Linked DNA regions of Caenorhabditis elegans. The protein of the gene in region 2 interacts with the protein of the main gene of each other region in a biochemical or structural test. Each region holds a gene or a part of one and is shown on either strand. Other genes may lie near its edges.

What was found.
Region 1: the proteins of uig-1 (region 2) and pxl-1 form a complex in vitro, tested with the Caenorhabditis elegans proteins (one study listed by BioGRID).
Region 3: of the proteins of uig-1 (region 2) and cdc-42, one has a biochemical effect on the other in vitro, tested with the Caenorhabditis elegans proteins (one study listed by BioGRID).

What each region holds. Positions count from the first base shown.
Region 1 is NC_003281.10:5,886,585-5,899,610, forward strand, and holds pxl-1 (Paxillin homolog 1), read right to left. Parts: upstream 9,428-13,026; 5' UTR 9,423-9,427; coding exon 9,377-9,422; intron 9,096-9,376; coding exon 8,966-9,095; intron 8,891-8,965; coding exon 8,802-8,890; intron 8,756-8,801; coding exon 8,662-8,755; intron 7,703-8,661; exon of another isoform or gene 7,645-7,702; coding exon of another isoform or gene 7,547-7,644; coding exon 7,495-7,546; intron 5,841-7,494; coding exon 5,694-5,840; intron 5,435-5,693; coding exon 5,261-5,434; intron 5,019-5,260; coding exon 4,923-5,018; intron 4,875-4,922; coding exon 4,740-4,874; intron 4,094-4,739; coding exon 3,815-4,093; 3' UTR 3,689-3,814; downstream 1-3,688. Other genes in the region: C28H8.7 (uncharacterized protein), read right to left, coding at 1-31, 163-372; C28H8.8 (uncharacterized protein), read right to left, coding at 520-884, 1,269-1,476, 1,526-1,648, 1,692-1,826, 2,129-2,191. UniProt on the Caenorhabditis elegans protein: Required for myofilament organization of the pharyngeal sarcomeres and for pharyngeal muscle contractions and hence for pharyngeal pumping. Together with lin-8, might be required for myofilament organization in the body wall muscles.
Region 2 is NC_003283.11:13,286,146-13,295,872, forward strand, and holds the start of uig-1 (Protein vav), read right to left. Parts: upstream 6,248-9,727; coding exon 6,142-6,247; intron 4,572-6,141; exon of another isoform or gene 4,422-4,571; intron 3,032-4,421; exon of another isoform or gene 2,883-3,031; intron 1-2,882.
Region 3 is NC_003280.10:7,612,421-7,621,821, reverse strand, and holds cdc-42 (Cell division control protein 42 homolog), read right to left. Parts: upstream 5,371-9,401; 5' UTR 5,366-5,370; coding exon 5,243-5,365; intron 5,190-5,242; coding exon 5,025-5,189; intron 4,975-5,024; coding exon 4,777-4,974; intron 4,432-4,776; coding exon 4,342-4,431; 3' UTR 3,577-4,341; downstream 1-3,576. Other genes in the region: R07G3.8 (CYRIA/CYRIB Rac1 binding domain-containing protein), read left to right, coding at 1,310-1,526, 1,575-1,837, 1,883-1,956, 2,007-2,162, 2,521-2,719, 3,213-3,308; Immunoglobulin domain-containing protein oig-4, read right to left, coding at 7,410-7,507, 7,736-7,787, 7,833-7,982, 8,032-8,199; R07G3.7 (uncharacterized protein), read left to right, coding at 8,141-8,265, 8,523-8,755, 8,804-8,960, 9,115-9,376.

The DNA.
Region 1 (13,026 bases), on a different chromosome or scaffold from region 2:
TCTCTGTTGCAAATCTCACATAGTACCAACTCTGGAAAAATAATTTTATTTGAAAAATTGGGTCGGGCATTGTTTTCGTTATTCATTATTAAGTTTGAAATAAAACCCCAATGACGTTTCCCTACTTTTGAACTTCTATGTCTCATAAATTATTAAATTTACCTCTCGATCAACATACAAATCTTTTTCCATACACTTAACCCATTTGTCAACTTCAGTTTGAAATTTACTCTTTGTCGAATCGCCTCCACGTGGATGTTCTAGGTACCGGTCAAAATATTGTTGTTCAAACCGTTTTTGACGTGCTATATAAACTAGCAGTAGAAGAATAAGAGCAAACAGTAGTTTTATATTACGAGGATGTGGGCTCATGGAGAATTTTATATTTATTTTACAAAAAACAGAGATAGTGGTGTTTTCTATTGTGATCAGTATTGACAAGAGTCTGATTTGAATATAAATGGGAAAAGGATGATGTGGAAAAAATCAAAAAGAAAATTGGAAAAAAAATGAAATAAACTATTCAAAAAACCTAGAAAAATACTTATCAACACAAAATGGATGTTCCATATTAATCACATAAAATCGATGATGTACTGTAGCATAAGCAACCATAAATGCATATCTCCCATCTTCAATGATCGTATTCATTATGCTTAAAAATTTTGCTTTCCGTTCATCGTCAGCTTGATGAACCTCTGTGTTCATTTGACACACTACTATCCCATTTTGATCGAATTCTGCTCCGCGAGCCATCATCGGAAGGATATCGTATTCGGGTCCCTCATTGTCCATCAAAAATTGATCTATCGTGGATTCCTTTACGAATTTTTTGAAGAAAGTGATGATGTCAATGTGGGGCATCACTTGATTTATATATTTCCCTGAGATTCAATCACTAATTTTTTTTTGTAAAAATTTTTTACAAAAAAAATTAGTAGCTTTGGTCAATATTTAGTCAGCTTTCATAGTGGTAGAAAAAATGATTCTTCGAACATGTCACATGTGCTCGAAATATGTTGCATTTGGTGGGCAAACCTACATGCCTGCTTATCGTCTATGGTTCATATTTCTCAGTGAGCTTACCTTCAAAGTGAGAAAAAACAAATAGTCAAGGTCTGATTATATTTTAATTGGTAGAAATATATTGATAAAAAATCCATTTCACCTTTGAGTCAAGTCCTGAACCTGCCCAAAATTTACATTTAAAACGTGAGCCTCTAGAAACATTAGGCTGCTGAATCTATAAATATTTGAAGAAAACTAACGGTTCTTAAGCACCAACGCTGTCGAGACATCAGTTTCTTTTCCCACAGCAAATGGGAAATACGACCCAACAGGTTCGTAAAGTTCTCCGTTTCCAGTGTATATTGGATCGGCGGCATAGAATCGGGAATTCGTCGGAAGTGTTTCCTTGAGTGTTGTTTCTGCTTTCACATCCAAACCAATGCCAAGAGTTACTACTACACTTGGTTCCTGGCAAATTTTGAATTAAATTGGTTTTTTTGTGGTGGAATTGAGAAACCTGAGATGGACTGTACACATGATATTTCATCTCATCTTTGTTCTTTACACCAGTCAATTCGATTTTCGAAAATGCAGTTTCATTTCTACATTGATTAATCACACGTTTCACCCAGTACCACATCTGAAATTATGACGTCATATCAGGATCATCGTTCAATTTAAACCTCTTTTGGATCGGTTCTGCTCCTTTTCAGTTTCTCCTGAAAGCACTGTTTCCATTCGTCGGCTGCTTCCAAGAAGCGCCTGTTTTTGGTGATTGGAAGCGAAGTTTCACGACTATATGAACTCAATTGGTGTACCTGAACATCAGTTTGTAAAGATTCAATGGTAGGAAGAACAAATTTTGAGTAGCTACTAACCACAGATGTATTTACCGTACCCCACCCTAGTGCCAAATAACACTTTTGCAACATGGCCGTGAAAACAAAAAATTTGGTAGCTTCGGCAAATATAAAAACTACATGACTTTTGCATCCGGAAAATTAAAGGAAGCTCTTTTTGATAAAATTTCAAGGAAGTTTCAAAAAGATCACTGGTACAAACTAAAAACTTGTCGTTGCCTGGGGTGTTTTTCTCAAATGAAAAAATATCCAAAACTCACTTTATAATCTGGATAGAACAACATGAAAAGAACAGTGAAGCACAAAAATAGGATTATGAACATTTTGAAGTTGTGCATCCACCGTGAAGCCATATAGGACGGTTCTGAACAAATTTTCGTAGAATATAAAAAGCGTGTCTAAAAACCGTTTTTATGACTTTCTGGTACATTTCGGAAATATAAAACTGTTCTCCGAACTTATGCAAGTGTTTCGAATATTAGTACGGTTAAAGTTTCACCAGTAGTTGCATTTCCCTTTGATGACCAAAAAGAAGCAAAAACTCTAAAATCCTTGACTACTCTTGCCTACTTGTTTAAATTTTAAATGAGAAATCCGAACAATGAGAGTATAGGTAAATTATTATTTTAATATAAAATTTATAAAAATAGTTTTTCATAATTTAATAGCTAAACAATTACAAATGCGCAATTAAGAGAGTTTTTTGAAGTTTTGTGGACCACCCCACCACTGCTCAGTCTTCAGAAATAGGAAATAACTTACCATTTGTAATAACTCGAATCATAATTCTTGTCGTTTGAAAGCTTCCAAGTTAAAAAGATTTATTCCTCGAATGACTAGACTTTTTAACTACACTTGCCTTTTTGTGTCCTTTCGAATTAATTCCAACATCAATCTGTACAAACATTTCAGTTTTTCAGCATCCTGCAAACACAAGTGCCTCCCCCGTTTTTGTAAATCTTTTGATCTAATTTTTAGTTAGTTTAATTACGGTACAAAGTTCGCCGATTTAGAATTGATGTTACCGTTAGCCGTCCCACGCTTCAAACAAATATAATTTGTACAATTTTTTGGACAGTGACTATTTTAGTTTTTTTTTTTTTCAATTTTCAAATTTGCAAAATGCATGTTTCAATTTGACTTTTGAAAATATTTAAAATTAAAAAGGTCTACCTCTATTTCACTAAAAAAAACTTCACAAAAATCGTCTACAAAATAATCAAAATCATTTGTCACCTGAAACATTTTATAAAAAGTAAAATCCAATTAAAAAAATCGCACTTTATTTAAAAATTTAAAAAGTATTAGCAGGTAGTTAGATATCAAAACAAAATTGAGACAGGGAAAAATATATCAATAAGCATTTTCCTCTTCAAAATAAGTGACATCCATTGGGCATTGTTGTGCGAAGTGAGTGTTGCCCTGTATTGAATGAAATTGAGCATTTTTTAAGATAAAGGAGGGTGGGTGGGGGGACCGATAAAATGCAATTAAAAGTTGAGAAAAAAAGTGACTGGGGGAAAAGTTTGATATGGCGGTGGGGAGGAAATTTTGATTTTGAAATGCGTAGAAATTTTAATAAAAATTTTGGTTTTTTTTTGAAAATTGATTTACTTTTTTTTTTCATATTTTATACAATGGACGTGTGGTAAGGTGGAAGGTTTTTGAATTGAGTAGACTGGAATTTAAGTTAAGGTATAGGTTTAGGCTTAGGCTTAATCCTGTATGTCAAGCTGAAGTCTATGGATTTAGGCTAGCTGACACTTAAATTTTTGAAAAGTATGGCATTAGAGAACTAGAAAATCTCAAAGAGAAAAATATTATATTCGATTTCATCCAAGCCTAATATTCTAAACTATTACTGAATTATCTTTTCCAGTTACCACCTTCAAAAAACTTGAAAAACCACAAAAAGACAGGAGAGACAAAAAAGAGAAAAAAAAAGATTAGGCAGGAGTCAATGCATACGTATTATTATAACACTTATGACAGAATGGCCGACGATCAACTTCTTTGAATGTTCCTTTTGTCAGTTGATGATTACAATATGAGCATCTAAAATGTTCCGGATGGAACTTTCTTCCCATTGCAGCTACACATCTTCCATTAATGGCTCCACGACATTGAGAACAGATTGAACCACGAGATTCATGATAATGTCGCTCACAGAGTGGAGCACCGTTGTGCTCAAAGAAACTTGCACCATTGAAAGAAACTCCGCAATGCTGTAAAGAACAATCCACATATATTTAGGGAAGTTTACAGATGACACACCAAAATAAAAATAATATTTTATTCCAAAAATAAAACTATTGACTACAGCTAAAGGAATAATTCTAAAATATTTCATGCTTAATTATGTCTATATCGACTAGGTAAGGAAAGATACAATAAACCGAAAAACCGAAACATCTTTTTTAATGGTATTATAAAATATATTAGGGGTCAAGGTTTTTATTAATATGAAGTTTTGGAAGGTTCAATCAAACTTGTAAATTTGCACATTTTATAGGTCCCATGTGAACTCAGTCAGTTGGCTCAAAATTAAAAATATATAAACCTAACACTTATAGTTAGTTTTATATAGTTTTATTTTTTTAACTTCAAATGTTACTATTAAAAAAACCACAAAACTCTATCACTGCAGCATACTATCAACGAAAAGCCTCTCATTATAATATTTTCTGGCACTTCACACAAGCCAATTTGCTCCACTCATTAAAAATAAAAAGGGGTAAGAAAAAAAAAACGAAACGAATAGACGAATAGAGAGACACCGACAAGAAACATACCGCACAATCGGTTTTCGATGGTTTCTTTAATTTTTGAATTGACTTCCTTGTTTAACAAATGATAATGAACTAAAAATACCTGACAGACAAAACAATCCGGATGCCAATGAGTTCCCAAAGCGGTGATAAAGTTTGAGGTGATTGGTTGAGAGCAGCCATTGCATTTTGGGGCGAATAGACGGAAGAAGTCACGTTTGCAATAGGTTTGTCCATTCTGAAAGTGTAAACTGAAAGGCTTTTCAAACGGATTTTTTTAACCAACCTTCTCATGGAATCCATCCTCTCCGAATGGTTGATTGCATTCTGCACACGTGAAGCATTCAATGTGGAAGTTCTTGTTCATTACACTCACACATCTCTGGAAACTTAAATTTTGTTTCTCTAATCATTTTTATTTCATGAAAATATATTCAAGATGATTAACAAAAAAAAACACTATTAAACTTGTGTCCACATTAATTTTTGCAAAACTCCACTAATCGGCGTTTTTCGTTGTACATTCAAAACTGGAAATACTACAAATCATGCACAATATTCTGTATTCACTATTATCCAATTGTACCAAATATTTATGACTAAGAATTTTGTAACGTCACTTACATCAGTGATGGCTCGATGACATCCTTGGCACTTTGGACTGAATTGATTGTGATAATCTTCTTCACAAAAAGCACGTCCATTTCTCTCAAAGAATGGGCGTTGTCCAAGTTCGGCACCGCATTCACAGCAAGTGTAATGCTCCGGATGCCACATTTTGCCAAGAGCAATGACGACCTGAAAAATGGTTTTATTTTTCAAATTTGATTTTCTGGACATTCCAAAGTTGAAATTTAATAATTCTTTTTAAAACTATTCTGAGGAAATTTCTAGAGTCTCGTAGTTTAACTAAATACCGCGAGAACATTATTTTGAACTGTCCTACGTCACAGTTAATCAGAATTAAATTTCAGGATGCCAAACAGTAATACACAGCGAAATTAATAAATCCTAGAACTTTTCACATATTCTAGAATTGTTTTATTAAAACGCTCACCTGTCCAATAATCGGTTTTCCACAGGCAGCACAATCTCCTTTTGGAATTGTATTGACTCCATGTTTTGAGCTCAATTCTCCATTCATTGTTCCAATCATTGAATCCGAATGCAGTGGGTCTCTTGATGGAGACCGACCGTTCGATCTCTATAAGTTCCACGTTTTTATGTATATGGGCAACGATTGGAAATGTGTGTTTTCATTCGTTGCGAGACCATTATGACAAATTTATGTTTGTGTGTGTATGTTTTGTTGGAATTGGCATATTTACTTATAGTTAATGGAAAAAGGTTTTTGTCGGAAAGTAAGCTGAAAAACTAATAAAATGAAAAATGACTGAACATTGGTAAGTGGCAACAGAAAAGGTGCAATATGCCAAAAAAACGGGGTAATTTTTATTTTCTAATTTACGTAATGATCTTTTAGACCACACAAAAGTATACAAATCCATTTCTAGAATGCTTTTGGAAACTTTCTGTGAAAAATTAGTAAAATTGCCGCGGCGTATTTTTAGCGAGGTCATTCTGTTTTTGATAGCGGGGTATGGAAGTATTTTCCCTATGTTTTTATTTATCCTCTGTAAACCCGAACTTTGTAATTTCGAAATTTAGATCCCCTTCCCAAATAGTCATCAAAATACACTAAAAATCGTTCCATATGACCTCATTCCAAAAGGTTTCTCATCAAAAACCAAGGAAAAGCTAACAATATCTCCCTTTCTCTATTCCCATCGTTTCACCTTCATTTACACCCCCGCTTCAACCTCTAGAAGCCCCCCGTACTGTTTGCTCGTGGAGCTCGTCTGTGTCTCTTCTTCTCACATACTCTCTAGCACGTGTTTCCACGTAAAAGAAAGAGCCACGCGGCAATAAAAGAAGGTTTTACAAACAGAAATTTCGCTCCACTTTTCGTTTTTTTTTTGTTGCTTCCTCTCCTTTTACTATGTTGTAAAATATGAAACTGAAAAGTTTTTGAAAAATGTGACGAAAACGAGGGAGACAAATAGTTGCTCTCAGAACATGAAAATAAGGGAAAAGAAGAAGCAGAGGAAGTAGTGGAGCATCTGAATTTTATGGGGATACGCTTGCATTTGGGATTAATGGAATCCTACAAAACAAGCAAGATGAGCAATGTATTCAAATTAAATGAGGAGACTATGTTGTGAAATGTTGCCAAATCTTTTATGATCTTTCAAATTGGAGCAATGACGTTTAAGTGAAAGAATTGTGGATTTTGATAAACCATACTAGTAATAGTCCATCATGACCTAATACCATATTTAAACACTCTACATTTTTTCTTGAGATTTTTGAAAGTTTTGTCAAGAAATGGTCAACTTAGAACAATTGAACAAAAATTAAATAATATTCTGGTGGATTTCTTGAATTACCAGTGGCAAAACCCGAGTAATTGCCAATTTTTGACAGTAAATTGAATATTTCAAAAAACATTTTGAAATTATTTTTATTTCAAAAAGTCCCAAAAATTTCAAGAAACCTTTATTTTAAAAGAATGACCGAATTTTCTACTTTGTAGTCATGTGACCAAAATAGGAAAAACTACAAATTCATAAAGTTTGCGTCTAAGTTGAATACATATCGTTCAGGATCAGTAAATTAGGTTTTAAAATTTGTGAACACAGAAATATCCGGAATTAGATTTGTAGAGATTGGGAAAGTTTAATGAAGATTCTGGGATTTTGAAAATTCTAATTTAAGGACATTTTTAATTAAGGTCTCCCAACGAAAACATTTCAGTTTCCCTTCCCAGAAGCTCCCCCCGAAAAGAAATAAAAACTTACGACATCAGAGTAGGATTGTGCCTGACTTGGTGGTCCGAGACTCTTGCGTGAGCTATAAACCGAATGATGTTGTTGGTGGTTTGAATGACTATTTTGTGCATAATTTGGACCATTGAAATGGTCAAGCCGTTGTTGCAACTCGCGCATCATTCCGCCAAGTGATAGGTAAAAGTGTTGTGTGCGTGGAAAAGAAAAAGGTGTGCTGCTCCTTTTCTCTATATTTTTCTTTCTCACTTGATAGAGAGTAGGTACTCTCCCGCCCTACAGCATTTTACCCCTGTTGAGCTCAAGAGATACTGAGCAAGACGAAGAAACTCAGTGAAAAATAAAATAACCGGCTCCTCCTCTGTACCGGGGAAGAAGAGATGATTTGCGACACGGGATGAGACGAGTAGAAGTAATATGCGTGTATGTTATTAGTCTTTTTTCTCGTTCTTCCCTTCACATTTGAGTTTTTGTTTGTTCCCGGGATTTTAGACGCAGAAACACGGGAAATGACCTAAGAGCCGGCGGGAAAATGGAACACGGAGTTGGCATTTTGATAAACGGGCTTGACCATTTCAAATCGGAATTTTCTAGTTTTATATTTTCAACATTTTTATTTTCGGAGCTATTTTTGGAACTTAAAGGCCATTTTTCTTTTGTTGTCTGGAAAGCTTTTAGAAATTAAAAAAATATATATCTGAACCAATTTTCGTGATATACATAAGTTTTCAATTTTTTTGAAGATGCACAAAAAATGTTGATATAAAAATTAACAATTTTCAACAAATCTTATAAAAATGTCGAGGCCTTAAGTGAACTTTCTAGGCTACAAAAAATTATGAATTTTCGAATTAAAATGCCTAATAGAATTCTAAATTCTGAATTGTTGGTCTAACATTTTTTGTGTGTTCTAGGCCATTGATTTATATTTTCGCATTCTCAGATGTAAGATGTTAATGTTTTACAGATTTTTTTGAAAGTGCCAATCAAAATTTTTTAAATTTTTCCTTTTAAGAATCCTAATCGCAAGATTCTTGAAATTATTAAATCAGAAGATTTGAAATTAATATTTAAATTGACTCATAGTATAGCTTTTTAAAAGGTTTTTCTAGGCCACGAATTTCAAAATATGACTCCGAAGATAAAAATGTTTTCAAAAAAACAAAAAACGTTTTCTCCTACCTGCTTGCTCGAATTGGTGGTTCTTCGACTTGAGACAATAGACTTTGGACACTTGGACGTGAATAGACTGGTGGGTTAAGTCTTGATTCATTTTCTACAGATACAATTACATATTAATGTTCTTTACATGAAAAACAAACCATAAATCCTTTCCTGACTTTTTGAATAATCTTTTCCTTCTGACGAACGACGTTTGTAGGGTGAAGTGGTTATATTTCCATTGCTCACACTGACACAAATATTAGATGTTTAGTTTATGTTAAAACATGTATGGAAAGGTTTGTAACATTAAAAAAAAACTAACCTCTGTGTGTTAAGATTTCCCTGAAGATCATAGGATTGCTCAAAATCATCACGACTCTGTGAGCGGCGATCACTTATATGAGCACGGCGGAGCACTTCTGTGGTGTGTTGAAGATCCGATAGAAGGGCTTCTGAAATTAAAATAATATATTTATTTATTTTTTGTTTCAATTACAGAATTTGAACTCTTCAATGTTTCAAATTGAAAAGTGAAAACCCACTTTTTAAGAATTTTATTATTGAAAACTATCAAGTATGAAAATCATATAAATTTTCAAAATTATGATAATTCCATCCAAATATTAATAAGTTTCCCATTAATCAAAAAACTCATAATTTCCAAACTAGTACTACGACTACTACTGGGAGCATTTCTCCACCGGAAAGCCTCCATTAGAAAGTTCTTGGGTACCTAAAGCTGGTTTAACCGCATCCGCAAAACGATCGTCGCTTGGCATTCTTACTGAAATATTCAAAAAATGTTCAGGAGAAAATCAAGAAAAAAACAATTAAAAGGCGGACGAAAGAGCTTTATTAGAAGTTATAATGTAATTGGATTTTATAAAAAGTCCAAAATTCAGTTATTTCAGAACCTCAGAATGCAACCCGACGGCTTAGTCAAGTTTCGGAAAATCAACAAATTATCAATTGATCGAATTTACAACAAGATGTTCAAAATAGTAAAAAACGGTACCAATGAGGGTGTATAAAAGAAGGAAAAGTGCAATAATAGATGAGTGTGTATGCATGTGTATGGGGACCACTAAAAATGTGAGAGAATGTGTCAAAATATGTGTGAGTGAGTGGAAAAAAGTGGGAGGAAGAAGACAAAAAACGATGAAGAAGCCGACAAAAAAAAAGAAAAAAGGAAGAAAGAAAGAGGAGGAGAAGGAAAAAAGATTTATGGAGATGACATAAAAGAAGTACAAAACATTGAAAAAAGAATAGCATCTGGATAACAAAAATACAAATTTTTATTTATAAAAATTACAGTTTGATGAGGAATCCTCAGAAAATAATCCAGTAGCCTAAGTTTTTAAAATATTGAAAAGGATGTCTAATAGTAAGTAGACACTTCACCTCTCAAATTTTTAAAGTAGAAGTGTCTACTTTTCATTAAAAAAATTTAAATTAGAAGTGTCTATTTTCCCATAAAAAATTTTTTAATGTAGATATGTCTACTTTCCATATATTTTAATTTGATTAATTTGCTTCTCAGAATAGGAATGATCATTTTGATATTAGTTAAAGCTTGATCAATAGGAAAACTTAGTTTAATTGTGAAAAAGTGTTAAGATAATTTTGGTTCAAATTTAAAATTGTGAAAAAAAAACTTTTTTGTAGAATTCCAAAATTAAGAAGGTGAGAACTAGCCACTTTTTGACTACACTATTTTAAAAAAACATTTGAACCGTTTTCTATGATATTAGGACATTTTAGCAACATATAGGAATGGTTTTATGCAATTCAGTTCGTTAAGAGTTTTTTCAATTACACATATTCCTAGTACATGTTTTTGCTAATTGAATTGAAATTTAATTAGAAAATAATCCAGGTTGCTGGAAATAATTGGTACTTGGAAAAGGGATCGATAACGAGGAAATATTTAAAAAAACCTTGAAAGTCAAATCAGTAATCCAATCTAGTAATCCAATCTCTCTTTTTCGAAAAAAAAAATTTTTGGAAAATCTAAATAAATTATTAGCAACATGACCGCCAAAGAAAGCGATGACCGAGGTATCCCTTTTCTCGGCCAAGTAGCAGAAGTCTCCCTATGACAAGAGATACATTGAAATCACATATTCCGTTTGAATAGATCACATTTTAAACGGTGTTGTGAAACCGGATCGAGTACTAAAGGAACATGCCAATCATGCATGAAAAATGAGAAATGTCAAAACTTTTATGAATTTCTACGGTATATTGTGAAAGTTGTTTGGAAGTTCTTGAAACTTCTTGAAACTATTATTTTACCAGAATATTATTTGATTTAAGGAAAAACTAGAAAATGGAACATGGGAATTCTTCATGATCTTGGCCCTTAATCTTTAGGAGTTTCTTCAAAAAAGAGAAGAGATAGACGATAAAAGGAAATAGTGTGAAAGTTAAAGAGATACAGAGACAGACACATAAACGACACATAGAAAAGAGCGGGAAGAAATGGAGGCAAAGTTTTTGTTTTTGAATCAAGAATGAGCGGGAGGAAGAGATTGAGATGTACACAGGCTTGAGGGAATTCGAATTGAATTCGATTGAAATGTAACTAAACGGCTGCCGTAAGATAGTAAGTACGACGGTTGATCTAAAAATGATACAGTTTCTAAAAATGTGGCTCTATACAATTGATGAAATTTATTAATGGTACTGGCTCTAAAGACTCTAGATAAAACTCTCCACTGGTTAGAAAGAAAACTATGCTCTAAAATGTCTTGTAATAGTTAGTGAAGCTAGCAAAAAAAGTCTCCAAGAGACTCAAGAGATCTGCTCACAGTAAAACAAAAAAACGCGTCAAGAGTGTCTCTCGCCTCCCACCGCATGCTTTAACTTTTTGATGACAAGTTTGCGCCGCCACGGATATAAATAAAACCATCGAAATGACTTTGAAAAGATCATGGAGATCCGAAGAGACACATACGAGCATATCGTAATTCAAACAGAAAAAAAGTTTGCAAAATGTTTCAAGTAGGTTTCGAAAGGAGAGTGTACCTAGGGATCAGTTGTGGAAGACGGAATTTGTGGAAAATTTAGAAAACAAAATTATTATAAATTCTTAAAATATGGGATAATTTTTTACACTGTCCCGTAAGAAAATTCGGTCACCAATTTTATTTTCGGGACCACGTACCGTATTCAAGATTCAAGTTTTTAAGGCAAGTAGGTAAAAAATGCCAGCTTGTATACACCCGTTTTTGTACGCGAACATTTCACATTTAATTCTATAATTTGAAATTACCAAAATCGGGGAAATTCGTAAATCTTCAAACAAAAAATTCAGAAAATAGACGGTAAGTAGACACATAGATATATAAATTATTTTTTTATTCAACACTTTGAATTGTATTTTTAGTTTTTCTTCTATACCATTAAAACTTTAATAATTCTATACGGAGCAGGAAGGAGTTCACAGACATCTATGAATGGGCGGAGCCAAATTTAGAAAAAAAAATCAAAAATATGAAACAAAAATTGAAATATCAATAGAAAAAGCTGAGGAGAAAAGTGATTGGAATCAGTGGCAAGAGGCAAATCACAGCTGTTCGTGTTGCTAAACAAGTGAGCGGGCATCATGAGGGAAAAAGTGATAGGTGGGCGGAAATGATCAAGAAGAAGAAGAAAACGACGATTTTAGAGAAGATTTTATAGAAAAAGAGAATGAAGTAGAAGGGAAGGAAGTACAACAGAAGGAAAAGAGAAAGAGAGGATACAATTGAGACCGAAGAAAGTGTGGGTTTTGAGAAGAACACATCAAATTGGTATGCATTTTGTATCAAACTTTGACATATAATGTTAAATATTCAAAATTGATCATGTTTTTGAAAATTCCAGAGTTTATCTTATTACAATATTCCCTCCAGTTTTCATGCACCTCTTGCAGTTAAAATTAAATTGCACAGAATAAATATTTTTTACATATTGGAACAAGGAACAATGCAAAAAATTTGGAAAATATTAAACTTTTGTGAATATTGAAAGATTTGAATGTCAAAACGCAGTACACACCTTCCTTTTTGGGGGTGATTTCAAATTTTAATAGAGGGGCATATGTTGTCTTGAAATTAAAACATTTTTACACAATTTTGTATTGCCAAATTCTGATAATAGACGAAGTTTAAACTAGAACCTAGCGTATAAGTGAGCAAGAAGTGCATGAGGGACCTCTTGAATCTCAACATGTATCATATTTCATTTCTCTCGAATATTCAGGTATTATTACGTCATTTATGATATGGCAGACATTTGAATTTAATGGAAGGACATTCTTCGACAAATTTTTTTGGATTTTAATTTTTTTCATTTCTTTTTGTAATTCAATTGAGAACGTCAAATTACAAATAGAAACCC
Region 2 (9,727 bases):
GCTGTTCTTCCCATGAGCACACCAACCTCAACCTCTTTTCGATTGACAGGTAATACTAGAGGTTTGCATGACTAACACACGGCCAGAAATGGATACTCAAAGTGGTCCAGCAAATAGAGGTGAAAGTGAACACAGAGATTATTAGAAATAAGACCTCCTCTATTCACATCATTATGGAGAAAGTAAATGGTGATTAATGGACGTGTAACAAAAAGAAGAAATGCAGCTAAAAAAAAGAAGGAAGTGATAAGAGGGATGAAACGGTTTGAAGGGAAAAAATTCTGCGTAGGTTAAGTTTGAGTTTCCTTATAACTTGAAATTAAGCTTGAAAATTCTGAAATAAAAATTTTTAGTTTTGAAAACACGTTTTTTTCAAAGGTCTCATAGCTCCCGGGTTATATTTAATTTTTTCTACTAATTTCGTCCCGAGCATCCAAAATTTATTGAGCACTGCAAAACACGATTCTACTTTTTTCACTAGATGTCACCAGAAAATTCCAAAGTACATGTGTAAGTATATCTGAACAACCGTAGAGGTACTATAGAAATTTTTTGGGACCTTCAAAATTTTTGGACAAATCATAAACTGCCTAATCCTGCATACTGGAAAATGTGTTTAAAAAGTAATTTCAACTTGTCAAAAATTAGTAAAACTACGTTTCATATGTTAGTCATAGAAGATTATTTAAAATAACTTCAAAATTATATAATACATTGCAGAACTCGAGTGGTGAAAGTGAAAGCAAGTTTCATTGCAAAAAAATGGTTCTAAAAAATGAACGCAGCTGGTGCAAAGTGAAAACCGAAAATTTCAAGTTACGACCATAGTTTACATTATTTGAGTTTGAATACCTACCGGGAAGACAATATTCAATTTTAAAATCAAAATTTCAACCCTAAATCCAACATCCAATCCCGTTTCTCAACAATATCAAAAAGTTTCAAAAAAAAAGTGTCTAAGAGGGCAATTTGCCGATTGACCAACATTGCTTATTTTCTTTTCATTGTTGCGATTATATGTGTATACAAAACAATCTCGAATGACCGCACTGACCACACAAGAAGAAAATAAAGTCGGGTGTCTTATTACCTATTAGATTTAATGCCAACTTCTGCAGCAGCAGCTAAAAATTTGAAGTGTATAAAATACATTTTCAATTCTTAACAAAAAACTCACAATCTGCATGACTGGTTTGAATGGGGCGAAAAAATCAAATCGGTGTCAATAAAATGGTAGTGATTTGGCGTTTTGATTGAATAAAATATAAAAGGAACTGAATAGTGAATAAATGGTTCAGACTATAGTAACCATTTGACTGGAAAGTGAGTCTTACCTCTTAACCTACAAGAAAGAAAGAGACCACTAATTACAACTGGACATGTGTTCGGCGTAAATGCAAGAAAAGGACAAAAGGTCGTCATAGAAGATGGCAGAATACTCGAGAGGTTGAAACAAGTGTACACACACAAAAGTACGGAAAAATCAATTCTAGAAGTTGAATTGAAAATTGGAAAATAGTAAACGAGAAACGGGCAGCAAAGTAGAAAATTACTGTCACAAAAAAGTCAACCAGGTTTTGGTTTCCTTATTTTAAGGAATAAAACATTTTCGAAAAAGGTCAGTGTATGGGTAACTGGGCGTGAAGTCAAGAAAGGTCATTAAGGTTCAGACATTATAATTTTAATGAGTAGGAGACAAAAAATAACAGTTTCACAAATGGTACTATTAAAAATTCATAATTTTAAATTTTTGTTTCACCCAAAAATGGCAATTTGGTTGAGAAGTTTACGCAACTGTCGCGAACTTTTGGCAAATGTTGAGCCAGAAAAGCTTCACTCAATTCTTGTTTTTTTAAATATAGTTTCAAAAGAGCTTCACCTAGATTTTATCAGTTTTAATAAATACCTAATCACTGGCAAGTTACTATTTTCGAAAGCTTAACGCCAAGTTCCGAATTTTCTTCATTCCGGCTTGATAATGAAATGGTCATTTATTATTATTTTTAGCTTCAAAAGTCCAATTGAAAAAAAGGTTTTTATATTTGCAAGGAATACTAGCTTCAAAAAAATTTCTCAATACAAATTCTGAGATGAAAAATATATAAATATAAGGGAACACTATATATAATTGAATGTGTTTTGTTCAGTCAGGTGAGAAGATAAAAAGATAAAGAGGAACGTAAAGTACAATATCCTGACAGTTCATTCGCTCCCTTCCATTCCACTCCGGTTAATGAGATTATCAGTAGTCTCGGGAAAGTAAAAAGATTCCGAAAGAAAAGAAAATATGAAGGACATTCATCGTTTCTTCTTGCTTTTATAGATTTGCCCATAATCATCGTTTCTATTTCACATAACAAATCGCAATAAAAATAAAGGTTGTCATCGGTCAAAACGAAGAAATTGAGAAGAAATCGTCAAAACAACCGGATGGAAACTGAGGATTTGGAACAGTTATCAGTTGAAAAGAGAAAATGACAAAAGTATTGAACGAGAAAGAGACAAGTGCAAAGAAAATGAACGGAGTGGAGCAGCTCAGAGGTTTTTTCCGGGATTGCTCAAGTATATTTTCCAAGAGTTGATCTTAAGTGATTCGGGCGATTTTCAAGTTCGGATTATAAGAAATTGAACCGTACTCCTTGAATTGATATCTATAATTTATTTGTTTTGATTTAAATGTGGTTTTGTTTTCTCGAAACACACTTTTTTGGAAAAGACAGCGCAAAATTTAGAACTGTAAAGGCTACATACAGTAAAATGGATGTTTTAAGGTTCAAAATAATAATTTAAACAGAAAAGTATAGATCAATGAGCTGAAGAATAAATCAAAATCCAGAAGGAGCGGTTATATCATTTTCAACCGGCATCGTGTGAGAGTCCGTGTGGCTTTCCGATACTTTCTCTGCGTCTATTGATTTTCAGTTGATCTCTTGCCGCCTAATTCTCGGATATCACACGCACATCTTACGCAACTGTCGCGTAGAAATACACAATCATCACGCCAGACTCGCAAGGGGCGAGATCATGGTGCCAATACGAAAAACCGAGTAGTAGATGAGGAGGCAATCAGAGAATTAAGAACAACAACAACAATATATTGCTCTAAATCTTAAAATAAAATACTGGAATCTTGGTGTTATATTTATTCTTCACGATTGATGAGAAGAAATATTTCGAAATCAGTTTTATAATAATTCTCAGTGGCAAGGATATATAGATATTTTGGTGATATATTGAGCAATCAACAATATAATTTCAAAAATATTTGTGCTTAAATGTCGTGCAAAGCAATAATAAGTTCACTGTTTATATGGTCAATACGACTTCACTTTTTTATTTTCTAAGAGATTTGATGGTTTGGTCATTTGTCTAGCTCAAATTCAATGTTGATTCTAGCACTTCAAAAAGTATCAAAAAATAATCAAAATATTTCTTCTGAAATTTTGTGCAAAATAACAAAGTTCAGTTATTAACAACTTGGATGTCTTTGGTGTTATCAAACATTTGGTGATGTACAAATTGAAATTTTTGGCTTGAAAAAGATTCAAGGAGCAACAGAATTGAAGTGGCAGGTTTGAATTCGAAATCAAATATAATCAACAATTATTTTTTGAAAATGTGAATATCGTTTATCTCCAAACAATTCTCGAGTGCCGGCTTTTCACCGGAGCCGCCGCCATTGCCACCCAGCAGATAACAAATATTCAAATATTTTGTATTAGAAGAGAGATTATTGAATAACATTAGTCGCAGATGTTCTCCTCCACACTTTTCCGCGCACACACATTGTGGTGTAATTGTGGCTTCTAATATTTGACACTTTGAGCATTGAATGAAGGGAGGGAAAGGACGAACAAAAAAGCATTGAGAAAATGCGGCATGATTCCATTCAAGAAAATGGGCCGAGAAATATCTTGACTAAAAGACATTGATGGGTATTCTAGGATTCTGAGAGAAGAAGGAAAATGGAGGGGGGGGGAAAGATGCCATCGAAAACTGACAAATGACATTTTCTGGATGGGAGGTTGTAGTCGTTGTCCAAGTACTTTGCTACACTCAATTTGTTTAGATTACGAACTCATTTACACTTGTTTTTCGTCTATACAATGAAGAAAATGTAACTTTGGGTCAATTTTTTATGGAATTTACAATTTATAAACTATAGCTACTGACTATGATCTGGCAGAATTATTTTGTGGTGCACTTTTTGTCTTCAAAATTTGGTGATGGAAAACCTTGTATTTTGAATTTCAACTAATTACACGATGATGTAACCTATGCTTCAGAAAATTCTTGAAACCAAACAAAAACAATGCAATGCAAAATGTTCATATTCTACGCAATCGGCTGATTACATAAGAATTTTCCTAATCGAAACAATAATAAAACCGTTGCCGCGTCAACATTTAAATAGGCGCGTGAATCTGCGGAAGGGCATCAAAAGAGTTTCGGAGTGTGATGATGGACATAATAAAAATCATAATAATAATAACCATACGCATGGCATCCATGAAAATGCGCATGGGTGGCGTTTGAGGTCAACTTTTGTTGAATTATTATGATGATGTGAACTATTTGGATTTATTATATAAATTCGGAAATTTTGGAATTTCGAGTTAAATGTATATGTAGGTTTAAATGATGACTTGACTAAATTGAAATAAATAATTGTTTAGATTTTGTATGTTTTCAGAAAAAATGGAATGAAAAAATTTATAAAATGGGAAAAAAAAACTTAAATGAGTGTAACAATAAAATTTGGGATATAGTGTTTTGTTAAATTAAGACTATTAACATGAATGTTGGAGGACTGTAGAATTTAGAGAAACTAAATTTTCCAAGCTCCCAAAATGCCTTGCTAAACAAAATCGCTAGGTTGTGAATAAAATATTGACATTTAGGAAGGAAGAGAAAACTAAACAAAGGATGAGGTTATGTTTCCTAAAATTGGATTTAGTATTAGGTCATGCGGATTTTGCAACAAGCGAGAAGGATATGATTATGAGAAATGAAATTGAATTGTAACAACACGAACACGTACAAAATGATAATTTGTAAACTTTTCCTCCACCTTCTCTCTATATATCTCATTTCCTCAAGTTCTCATCAACTACTAAATCTTATGAACACTTGAGGTTCCTTCCAACATATCAAACAAGCTTCTCAATAAAATCAAACAGTTTTTTTTTCTAAACAATCTCACGTTCCAATTTCTCTTTAGTAAATAATAATTGAGAGAGGGCAAAAAATAAAATAAAAACTGCGATGGTTCGATCAAAAAGAGGTGAAAATCAGAAAAGCAAATGATTCGATGTGTGTCATCTCAACTAAAGAAAAAAAGGAAACTGTAGTAAACATCGACACGTTACACGAGAGCCAGGTTAAGAGGATGTAAAACAAACAAAACAATATGTGCCTTGATGATCGGACTTGGAAATTGAAAGTTTCTTTTTTTGTATGTATTTCTAAAGTTTTAATCGGGAGATGCGAAAATTGGTCTTGTAATACCGATGTTTGGTGAGGACTTTAAATGAGTGGGTCTCAAAGTTCGGAAGATCTTGGAAAATGGGAAAAGAGTTGGTAAAAGTTTTGCAGGTGATTTTTGCATTTCGTTTGAAAAACTTCAAAACATGCTCATGAAAATATTCAAATGGTTTACTCAGTACGATATGTTCTTCCTAAATTTACCTAGATAAAATCTGAAACATAAAAATGTTATGAAAAATAAAATAAAATTTATAATTTTTCATGACCCGTTGAATATCGACTCCCCTACGAATCAAAACATGGAACAGACAGAAGCTCAGCTACGTCACATTTGAGGTCAAATTTACAAGGATTGGGTATTTATTCTTCAATGTATGTAAGTTTGAAATAGCTGGTAGGCACGAAGGCAGTAATTTTTATTCCTATATGGATTTTTTTCGAAATTTTATTCAAAATGTCGAGTTTAGGGGAATGTTTTTTTTAAGTTTTTTGAGAGTAGAAATTATTAATATCTGATAAACTTTAGCCATTTTAAAAAAATTTAGCTTGCTTTTCTAATTGAATACTACATATTGAAAACAAAAGAGAGTTTGACAAATATGAAAAAAATCGAATCACAATAAAAAACTATTTTACGTTAAAAAAAAATCACACCTTGTAATTGAACAGTCGGCTCATCGTCATTTGCACATTCAGAGAACTGTTGCTTATCTTCGTAGTAGCTGAATCTCCTGCGGAACCAGGAAAATCCAATCGACATTGCACCTTCAGAGAGAGTAAGATTTAAATCGGTAAAAGAAACGAAAGAAAATTGAAAGATTGAACGGTAAAGGAAGTTGGCAGTTTCAAAATAAATCTTTTGATTTCTTGCTTTAATCCTATTAACTGGACTTGAAACCGAAGAAATGGATACCTAGGGTAAAAACTTGAAACAAAGTTCCACAAGCAAGGTTTTTCATCAAATTATAGCATTAATGTTCCACTTTTTTGCGTCTTGTTTTCTGGTCAAATTCTATTCGGTTTCTATTCAAAGCCGATGAAACATGGGAAATTCAGAAAATTGTGGGAATATGATCGCATCGGAAATACAAGTAATTATAGGGGGATTGACCGAAGAAACGTCGCTCTAGCGTTCAGAAACCTTCTGAACCACGCGAAGGAACAAATAAATTGGCACAATAAGAAGATGTTGAAGTCAGTGAATACCAAACGGAAGATTGAAAGTGGTGGTGGTGGTAATGTAGGAATGTAAGAAAGAAGAGTCAACTTGATACTTGTGCGCAGGGTTCGTCACACTACTTGGTCCCGTATTTACACTCCTAATACGGCCCGTGCGGAGTTTTAATACCAAACGAGAGAGGTAAACTGTGTTGCCAAAGAGCAATCGGAGGAAGATGCTCCCTTTTGAATTACCGCAATTCCTTTATTAATATGATTGCTAATAGTAAGATAATTTTCAAAGACCGTCGTTATTGCTAGACCAATGCATTTAAAATTTTTGGTTGCTCATCTGAAATTAGTAGTTTATCAATTCCAAAAATTCAATTTCTTGGCTTTTCATGAATTAACTGGAATCATCGAACAAGAATAATAATAACAAAAAAACCTCCGTTCAAAATAGGTAAGTAGCTATTTTTTTAAAGGTATTATAGGCATAATAGTAATAGAAGAAAAACGGTAGAAACCTTATTTAAAAAATTGAAAATAATTGTATCAAAAGTTATAAAACTAGTTTTTTAACAACTGTATTCTTAGAAAAAAAGCTATCCACCTCTAAACGGTCTCCACAGAATAAAGAAGAACAAGCTCATCTTCACCAAATGTTTATTGCCTTGTTTCGGTTTCGGTTCAGTTTATAAGTGGTTGGAGGATTATCGGAAAGATTCACTAGTTCTATATTCTGAATAAGAAATGTGCAAATAGATGAACAACTCTTACGGACAGAGTTCATGAATGAGGGCAATGCTGGAAAGTGTCAATAATGCTTATCAGCTTATTTTACGTTTTTTGGGCTGATGTTAAACCCTTTTTTTAGAAGTACCATTTTTGAATAGATGAACGCAATAAAAAATAATTTTGTGGGGAATACCAATGATATATTTTTTTAGAAAAGTAGTAAAATTATGTAGCATGTTCACCATTTAAAATAATTTAGTTTCGGGATTGCCAACTTTTTGCAAAGTTGAAACAAAAAGAGCTCACGATTTAAAAAAATTAGGTTTTTATTTCGCCAAAAATCACTAGCCTCGAAGCCATTTAGGCAATATGAAATCAAAAACCAAAAAGTCTTTCAAATAGCAGTTCCCTATTATTTTATGTGACTTGTCAATTGGAAAATTGTGAGAAAAGAAAAAACAAAGCTATAAATCTGGAACAGATCCAAGATCCAATGTAATCTCAAAACACAGAAAGGTGTCGAAAGAGTCAGAGAGAACGGCAAGTGGATATGCTCTCAAATGGAGTGCTCATTTGCAAACGGGGGAGGAGAGGAACCTGTTTATTTATCTGACGCATCACAATAAGACTCTTTTTCTTATTTCGATTTTTTGATTTATTACTTCAATAAGAAAAACGCACAAAAAAAGAGGCCATTGGCATATAAATGTGAGAAAAAGAAGAATTGGATGAAAAGAGTTGTGAGTGTGCGTGTGTGGCAATTAGTCCAAGTGACACTCAGCCTTTGAACATCGTTCATCGTGTATCACTGATAAATGACAACTGCCTCAGGTATTTTGGAAATCTTTTTTATCTCCGGCGGCTCTTTTGACCTACTCTGAACTTTTGCTCTGTGCTTTGGAATAGAGACTAAGAACAGGGAACTTTCAACAGAAATTGGACACTTTGAAAGCCTTGTAGACATGGAGCATATTATCTTTCGGGGTTTTTTTTTTGAAAAAGTTTAAAGTTGGTTAAGCGACAAAAATACGTTTCTTCCAAGTTTTGAAAACCGAAAAACCGAGCCTTTCCATTTTTGGACTCAGAAGTCAGAGGCTGAGGAAGGCAAAGAAAATTAATTGATTTATGAAAATAAAAGAGCACTCTTGTCTTTTCCTGCCGACAACCGCACCGGAAAACTGCACACCAGATGGGTAAAAATGATGAATTAGATTAGATCAACGGAAATGGACAATGAGATTTGCGGTACCAGAGACACAAAAACATTCGAGGTGAAAGGCTACGTGTCACTGGAATAATATTCAATGCATCAAGGGAATATGCCCTTTGTCAATTGAAACTTTTTTTGAGGGCGAACTTGGGAATGTGGCAAGCAACTTTTTGGCAATATGGAATCAGAGGATAGTTAGGTTCACTGTAATTTCAAGCTTCTTTCAGAGTTTAATATCTCATAGCTAAAAGCAAATGCAGGCAGCAGTTTGCAAAGTTGACTAAAAAAGGCAATTTACTTTTGTCTTACAGCTTGGTATAAAATTAAAAGTTAAAAAGATTCCGTTGTGAAATTGAACACATCACATCCGACAAAATTCCAAGTAAATATAGAAAAAAAAACAGGACATTCTAAAAAGGTTTGCAATTTATAATTGTAAGTGCTTCGAGGTAAAAACGGATAATTAAAAATTTTATAGTTTTCAGAACTAGTCGCGCACTTGCTCAAATATCGAGTGGAGGATATAGTTTTTTAATTTTTTTCAGAAATGTTAAAAACTTTAAGTTCGGCATTCTCAAATTTATTTTGAATTATTTGTATTACTTCTTGAGCAGTTTTCATTCATTTTGAATATTTTCTCAATCGTGAAGCCCAAAGAAAATCCTGTAGTGATTTCAGAAAATCTAACTAAGTCACACTCCCAGTTTCTAGATATGCTTCAATTTCATCATAGATTAAAAAGATAAGTGAATGAAATGTAACTCCTAGACGTTCAATAATATGATAACCTTTTAAACTCTCGACCTATTTCACCCAGCTGCCCCGTATAAAAATACGTCTATCTTCTCCGGATACCATGTTTGCCAATGCATTGTGCACAACAAAACCATCTGTCGATCATGTGAAAAAGGGGAGGAAATGCAGTGAAATAGGGCATTTCTGTTCAGAAAAGAAAAGGCACACGAACACACAAAAAGAGAAACCCTACAATTCACCGCATAACATGTAATTTTTGTTTTCTTTCATTGTTTTTTGAACTAACCTACTAAATAAATGAACCGTCGTCTTCTTGTTTCGTCATTCATCATTCATTCTTACAGGACAATAGTAGTAATAAGTCATTGAGCGGCGCGG
Region 3 (9,401 bases), on a different chromosome or scaffold from region 2:
CATGTCTTTTCTCGTGTTCTATTCCAATTCATTCTTTTCCGTGTGACACTTCCAAAGAGTCTCTCTCTCTCTTCAATTTCCGTAAGGACGACGTCTTCATCCATAAACAACTTTTCACTTTTCCTCACGTCGCCGGCCCGTTTATGACCGCATCGTGCGTCCACCATTTTCACCCATTTTCCCCTAATTTCCTTTCATTTCAAAATGACCCAAGCATTGTCTCAAGGCTCCCTCTCACTCTCTTTTGGTCATTTTTATAAAACAAGTAAAAGCAATAGTGAGCCAACAGCACCAATTTCCTGCTCTTCACGCATTTTGTATCCATGAGCCATTTTGTTTCGGCGCACAACGAGCTGTGCACTTCTTATAGTCTTCTTTCCAATGGCTTCTTCTATTTTTCTTCCATTTCATTTTTGCGGACAACATCCACTAGGAAATGCATTCCCGCGCACTGCTGCCGATATATATGTACACAATTCAAACACCGGCCACCCAATATGTTTGCATTTTACAAGTCCAATCTGTTCGGTTACCTTTTTTCTTCTTTGCTTCACACCCACACAATTTCGGTTCTCATTCAAAATACTTATCTAGCTGACAGACAGTTTTTGGTTTTTCACAATTGATAGTGTAGCCATGGTATCTGACTATAAGTTTTGAAATCTTTTAAATTTTAGACGCGACAAATATTACCGTCTTATGGTGCTAAAATGTCCAAATGCCAAAGTTATATTTTTTGTTTTAATTTTCGTAGATACGAGTTCATATTTTGTTATATTTAAATTATATTTGTTCCAACATCCCAGGTGTTGCAGTACTGTTTTAAACTTCTCATTGTCAGAAAGTCCAAGTTTTCGAAAATTAACCTAAATTCATTATTATTCAAAAATCTAAAAATTCATTTTTGTCATTTTGGATAATTATATATGTACCAAGACAATTTTTTTAAAATTAGATTTAAAGTGCACCAAGAGCACTGACCTTTTTACTTTACTCGCAGCAATTTCTGAAACAGCTGCAATTTGTACCAGGTGCATCTTTCCCCAGCTTTTTTGTCCGGCTATCGTCCAGCTGCCATTTTTAAGATTCTCCTTCGAACACTTTGATTTCATTCCCTTTCAACTCCAGATGGTACTTGTTTTCAAGATTCCCAGTTTTTTTGTTTTCCATTTTCCCCCATTTCAACTACTTTTCTCCGGCATCTTATAATCTTCATGTGATCATCGTGTAATTATACGCTTATTTTCTTTTTATTTTCCAACTTTCACTTCTAAAATACTATTCAATACTCAGCTTAATGATTCGCAGAATGCCGTCGAATATTCGAGAATCTGATGCATCTTGTCTTGAGATGATACGATCAATTATACGATCAACAGCAGATGATAATTCAAAATGGGTCGAGATTTTTGTGGATTTTGAAAATGCACAACCAACAGATGAAGAAAGGGAAATATATAATATGGCTGAAGAAGTATTAAATGATTGTGATTTAGTACTTGCTGATGTATCAAGTTATGGAAATGGTACGTTAGATTTTTATTTTTTAGTAGACTTGTAACATCAATTTTCAGGTTGCTATGCAGAAAGAAATCAATTAAAAAATGACAGTGATACTCAAGCTTTAAAAGTTTTAATGACAAAGCTTGAACCATTTGTTGCCAGAACATGTTCCTACTATGAACATGTTGCAAAAATTGAAAAAATCGTACCAATAATTCTATGGGAATTATCATCTGGCCCATTACCTCTCGAAGAACAACTTGCAAATAAACAATCAATTGCCAAACAGTTTGCACGATTAATTGGATTTGTATTGGACTTTGATGTCGTAAAAGTATGAATTCCACTTTTCCAATTAAAGAAAAAAATTTAATTTCAGATGAGAACCGCCCAGATAACAAATGATTACAGTTATTACCGACGAGCAAAACATATTGTTTATCAGGATTTTGAGTAAGTATTTAATTTATTTGAAACAATCTAATATAATTTTAAATTTGTAGAGACCAAGGAGTTCCCGAATTACCACAAGTTCAAATGTTTCTTTGTGAAGGAAATCCAATGTTAAAAGCACTTTGTAATGGTGTAGATTCGTACATGCAGACACATCAAAGCTTGCCAATTAACAATACAACTGATGTTTTTGTAACAATTATCAAGTGAGTTTTCTATAAATTAAACTGAAAAACATACTTTTGGAATATATCGTAAACTCCATCCGCAATTTATGGAACACAAGCAAGAAAATGGAAATCTTTTAAATATCGTGATTAAATAATTTTTAGTGTTATGAAAAGTTTCAGTCAACGTTTTGGAAATCTGACAAATCTTTCAAAAATACTTCCAAAATTATGAATTGATCTTCTTTTTCACTGCAAATGAAACATTAACTTTTTTTGGAAAGTTCTTGGTCATTTTTGCACTTTAATAGTGATTTTCAACTACTTTTTTCACTGATCAGTCATGAGTTACGATATGATGAGTTACGGTAAAATAAAATTGTATTAAAATTTTCAGCGTTTGCCGATTCATGTTAGCAAATGACGAATGTCTGGCACGACTGACAGATTCATCGAAACATCTTTGCTGTCGAGTGATGACTGGCCTTGTAATATTATTCGATCACGTAGATCAAAATGGTGCATTCGTGTCAAACTCATCAATTGATATGAGAGATGTTGTCAGGTTGATCAAACTAAATACCACTCCTGAACAGGTAAGCGTTTTTCATATTTAGAGTTTTCGTGTAGTAGAGCGAAAATTGCTTATATCGTTTTCCAAACATTATGGGGACGCAGAAAAATGAAATGAAGGGGCAAGCTCGCTCCAACGCCAAACTATGAGTCTCGTTAGGAATTGACAGCATTAATTCATACAATTTGAAGTTGTTTTTAATGATTTTTGTTTCAAAATTATTATTTTAAAAATGCATGTGACAATGAAAATCGAATTTTTTTTTCGTTTATAAATTTTAATTCATCAATTTCGGACTGAAATTAATTTAAAAGAATAGCGGAAAGCATTTAAAGCAGACGAAAAATGTTTGAACATGTTCGAATTTCTAGTTTTCTGCGAATACCTAACGAGACCCAACAGTTTGTCCGTAAAGCGCGATTGCAAACGCGCTTTCAAAATGAGCATTTTTCTGCGCTTCCATAATAAAAATTAGAATAAAATTGAGCAACCCATATTAATTGTTTTATTTTCAGTCTGATTGTCTACTTGCTGGTCTTCGTTTCACAACAAAACATTATAATGATTCAAGTACTCCAAAATCTCTTCGTCATTTGATTGAAGTGAAATAATTTCATTTTTTGTCAATTTGTTCATTAATTCTAGTCATCCTTGCCTCTATTTTATGTTCTCTTATCGTTTCTAGTTGAAGCCCATTTCCTCATACACGGTGATTATGTTCCTCTCCTCGTCAAACAGTACTTTTTGTCAGTGATAATAATTATTTTTCGTTCCAATTCACCCACTCATTAATTATTTTTCTCAATGCCTTATGGTTCCGGTTCTTCTTTTTCTACAACACCCACTTGTATACTTTTCAAGATCTTTTATAAACATCTTAATTTTTTATATCACACCTTTATTGTTTTGGATCGCAAATATATAACAACAATATGTAGAAAAATTAAAATACAGAGTTGTTCTGGAGAAAGGAGGAGGGAGACACAAAACGTAGTGGATGAGAAAACAGTTTAAAATGGGAAATGGATGTGTGAAGGCAGAAAAGCACAAAAAAAAGGAAAGAAGAAAAACAAACTGGTCGGTATTTTTGAGCAGCAAATGAAGAAACAAGCGACTCGGGATGTAGTTGGTTGTGCTATACAACACCTATTATATAATTATAAAAAGAACCATGGGAAAGGAGAAGGCGCATTACGTAACGGTGTATCCGGACTATAAACACGTTTTGGGATAAAAAAGAAAATAAAAACGACGACGAAAATGTTAAAGAGGAGGTGTCATTGAAAAGAATGATAGTTAATTTGGATGAACTTTTAAAAATTTTCGAGGGGATTATTCGATAAAAATTCGAAAACAGATGAGAAACTATAAACTGCCCTGCTTATCGAAATTCTATACGAAACAATTAAAAAATTCTGGAATCATGCTCATCGAGATTCTACTGGATAAGTTACAGGAGACGAATTGAAGAAAATCATCTTCTATGATGCTGTCAAAAATAACAGCAACCGCTTCTCGTTTGGCATTTTTCAGGGAAATTTAGAAGTATGAGAAGAGTGGAAGTCGGGGGCTAAGAAAATTTGGACATAGAAAGAAAAACACAGTCACAAAACAGAGGAAAACATGGAGACAAGGAAGACGTTCCTAGAGAATATTGCACTTCTTCTTCTTCTCCTGTTGTGGTGGGTCGAGAGCGGCCAGAATGGCTTCGTCGAATACATTTTTCAGTCCCTTCTGAAAATAAACTATTTAAACTTCAATATACAAGCGTTTTTAATCAACATAATATGAAAACTATGGTATTTTCAGCCGGAATATAGAGCATTTCAGGAGATAATTTTTTGCACAATAAAAACAGAATTCTGGTTGTTCGTTTTTCCCGAAAACATGACCGTTGCTAAATATAAAGCAACAATTTAACTGAAAAGTGATATTTATATTTTAAAGTGTCACGTATTTCCACAAGAGCCTCGTTTTAATATTTAAAAATTTATTATTTGATTAGGTTTCGTGGATTGGATGATATTTTATTTTAATGTTTCAATATTATCAATGACTATTTTGGAAAGAATGACTCACCTGCGTCAACGCTGAGCATTCAACGTATTTCACTGCTTTCAATTCCTTTGCCAACTTCTCTCCAACATCCGTTGACACTGGTTTCTGCTTGTTTTTTGCCAGTTTCTCGAGCATTCCTGGATCATCCCTGAGATCGACTTGAGTACCAACTAACAAGAATGGGGTCTTTGAGCAATGATGCGAAATTTCAGGCACCCACTAAAACAATTTCAGATATATAGAATAAATTCGAGAACAATATTTCTTACTTTTTCTCGGACATTCTCGAATGAAGCTGGAGCAACCACGGAGAAGCAAACAAGAAACACGTCGGTCTGTGGATACGATAGAGGCCTTAATCGATCGTAATCTTCCTGTCCAGCAGTATCAAACAATCCTAATGTGTATGGCTCGCCACCGATCATTACTGTGACCTGAAATTCGGAAATTATTTTTATATAAAATAATTTTTTTTTCTTAAACTTACGGCGTAATTGTCGAAGACTGTCGGCACATACTCAGAAGGAAACTTGTTTGTGGTATAGCTGATCAGGAGACAAGTTTTACCGACAGCTCCATCTCCAACGACGACGCACTTGATCGTCTGCATTTCGCCTGAAAAAAAAAATGAATAAAAGTATTAAAATTACGTCTTTATAGTGAAAAATACGGATGAGTCACATAAATGTGCACGCACACGTTTTAAAAGGAGAGATAACTAGAGAATGAAAACGAATTGCGAAACATCAGGCAGAAAATCAATAGTCTCTTTCGAAATGCCACGAGCGTTTCTTTACCATTGGGAGCAATAATTATCGAAGAAAGAGCAAGAAAAAAAAACGGTAAACGCCTTAATAAACGATGAAGAAATAAGGCAAAATGGCCAAAACAACTTGTGCGTATAATTCTTTAGATGAGGAATTTTGGCAATGATTCATCGGTAACTGGTCGGAAGTTTGAATCGGTTTTCCGTACCAAACAACTTGCATATATTTGAAACTAGTTATATTTAAGAAAAGGTACAAAAATAGGAATAATTCGACATGAAACACTGGAACATCTCAGTCAGGATTATGTTAGGGGAATTTGGAAGCAATGTTCAATAAAATGTCACGAAAATGATTTCAATAATTGTTAAACAGTCAGACAAACTTAAGCGGACCATTTTTTAAATAATTTAAAACATGATTGCTCCTTTCGAGAAAATTTATCAAATTAAAAACTGATAGGATACTTCGATCGTCTACCTACGTTTATTGATTAATTCTGCTCTTATAAATGAATAATCAATAATTAGAAAAAACAATAAAAGCCTGTAAAACAACGAAAAGCGTGAATGAGCTTTGTTGAACACGGCGAAAAAAGGAAAAAAAGAAGATGGTGGACAGTTTGTCGGCGAGCCTAAAGACGACCGCGACGCGGCCGCTCGCACTCATAGACTACGCTAGTGGTGAGATACGCAGAGAAAAAGACGAGAGAGTATTGAGAGAATGGAGACATCACTACATCTAACATAGGGTCGCCAGTCGTCACCGAATTATTGGATTCAAATTTAGGTCCCGTAACTCGTGAAAACTTATTAGATCGGTCAGTTATCTAGATAGAGTACTTGATTAGACAAATGATATCCCAGACTGGTCAGTTTCAGTCTAGAAATGACGCTGTAAACTTCGTAAAACCACCAAATAGGATTTCTAAAGTCATCATCTAGAATTTAAACTATATCTCACTTTGTTACGCTGTGAGGATATTATACATACATATTTTGTATGTAAGCTTAGTCTATAACTAGCGTAACCCGTTCCATGCTAACAGACGGGCGGCCATTTTAGTTTTTTATTTTTCCTGTGCGAACGATTGCCAGCCAGAAACTTCTTTCTTTTTTCTTGTTTCTCCTAGTGCAGAATATTTGTCCTCAATTTATAAATACCATCTCTAGAATATTAACTTCGATTGAATCCGTTGTGTTTTCCATTTTTTCTCAATTGTATTTCGTAAAATTAATTTTAAAATTGCCTTCTTTTTAATTTTAAGGTTTTATATTTCAATATGCTATTTCGTATTTTTTGTCTTACATTTCTAGATAGAATTCTAACAATGCTCCGATTGAATCTCACTCGCGAAATTTCTATTTCTCTTCTTTCACTTCAATCCAATCGACGATTCAATCTGCCCTAAATTTTTAGAATTGCATATTTTCTCTTGATAACTTCATTGTAAACCGTGTGAATTCCATGAAATTACATGTTCGTAATACTTTTCCCAATTAAAAGAAGAAAAATTTGGAGTTTCGATAACCGACGGCGCGTACTTCTCTTCTTCCTTATTGTTCGATCAATAGTCCCCCAATCCGGTTCCCTGCCGCGTCTCCTCCCTTTTCCGCGCGAGATGTGCCTGCTTTTCGTTCATGAATTTCGTTTACAACGTCATCAGCTCTTTTTCTGTATTCATTCTGAACACATTCCCGCCTTCACTCGAATTTACCGCCACCGCACACCTGTTCATCCCGCTTCTCTCACTCCCAAACACTGTTTGTTTTGTCGCTCGTGCGCCTGCACGCAACAGAAGGAGGAGGTTTCAAACGCATTCCTTCGCAAGTTTATATGATATAGATTAGGTGAGAGAAAATTATTTGATTTGTGAAAAATCTTTATTCAATACGTATATTCTGCTTTAAAATTCTTTGCCATTACTCCGTGCGGGTTATTAGCCACACATGCATAGACACCCTGATCGCCCATTGTTGCCGGATCTGAAAATATGACAACTGTCGTATATTTAGCTGTCGTTATTGTAGTTTGCCATTCGCTCACAGTTAAGAAGAAAAACTTTAAAAAGCGCTGAATATGGCAAAAAAATTGTAGAGAAATGAGCGAAATTCCAAAATTTGCTGACAGTGACAAAAAAGTTTCTTATCATATTGTATCATTTTTCGCAAGGGTTCTAAAGATATTCTTGATTGACAACAATTTTCACTTACCAACTTCTAATTTACTCCAAATTGTATCATTTTCGATTGGCTTTTCGTAATACTGCAAGTAAAGCAGTTAACCCACGGATTACTGTACATGACTCACGTGAATGCTAGCTTTTGGTTGAATTTCAGCACCTTCCTTATACCATTTAATTGTCGGTCTAGGATCTCCACGAGCTTTGCAAATGATAAGTAGTTTGTATCCAAGCCGATATGTTTGACTGAAGTGAGAGCCAGTTATGATTTGAGCACTCTGAAAGACTTTCAAATTTTGTATCATTTTTTTTATTTCTGAAACTCGCTCTATTATCTGACAAAACCGTTTGAACCAACGAAAATTCTGCAACTTGTGCAAATTGCAGATTACTCTTTCCCTTTCCTTTTCCGCCTCGACGACCTCCTCTAGAATCGATGGCTTCCAGCAAGAAGCAGAAGAAAAAAATGCATCGACCCCATAATCGGAAGCTCATGATTCGCGATTTACCAGTTGGTGCAGCCTATCTTCTGCACCCGTCACTTCGTGGAATTTTGTTAAGGTGAGTTGAAAAAACTCTAAAAGAATTATAAATCGAAGAACATTTAAATCCAATTAGTTATTTAAAAAATATCAGTAAAAAAGTATTGATCGGAAGTCTCTGGACTTCGATAGCATGTGTTCTTGCTCTCACACCAGTGTAATATTTCGACAGAGCAAAGAGAAACGAAGAAAAGAGAGGAGTAATGTGTTTTATTCGATGTATGTCATGCTTGAATCTTTGTTATTCGGGGATGTTCTAAAATATTTATTTTTCAGCCGTCCAAAACGATGGAACAGTGGAAGCCCTTCCCATCGAATTGCAGTGAATCTAGTTCGAAAATACAAGAAGCAGCTGAAACCAAGAGTTCTTCCATTTTTCTGTGATCACTGTAGACTTGCTTCTCGTACGCTATTGCACATTAAAGAACATGTTTGTGACAAGGAAGAAAAAAGAAAAGCTGCGAGGAAGGAAGAATCGAGAAAATTTGCAGATTATGACGTTACGAATGGTACGAATAATTTATTATTCTCAATAATCCTTATAAAAGTAATTTCAGAAATAAAACTGGCTACAAATTCGGAAAAGCAATGGAGATTCAACGCTATGGCTGTGTTAGAACAAACATTAAGACCCAATAAAGTTGCACCGAAAAAAGTTGAAATAGAAGAAGATCCTGGAATAGATCAATTACTAGACTCTGAGCCAGACCAAGAGTGAGTTTGAAATTGAACTGAAGTGGTGAAGACGATGAGAAAAGAGAGAAGAGTGACTCTCAACTCGATTAGCACCTCCGTATTCGTTGTCTTTTCTTTTTCAAGAGTCTTCCCTTTCTTTTTTCAACAGAAAAGTAATTCAAGATTTTTGCAGATTTTACGACGCTCAAGAACAAGAATTTGAAGATGATACTCCACATTATCCGATTAAAGATGTTTTAGTTCCATCAAGTCAGCCACCTCGTCCAAAAGTGACTTTGAAATCTTCTGAATGTCTCGGTCACAATGATGCTGGAGTGTTCTGTTTCAATTGTAAAGGATCTTTTGACAGCTACAATCAGTTTCAGCTACACCTCAATGAAGATTATAACGATGGGAAATGCAACAGAGCACTTCCGGAATATTATTATGTACAGGTGAGTATTTTTTGTGTGAGAATTT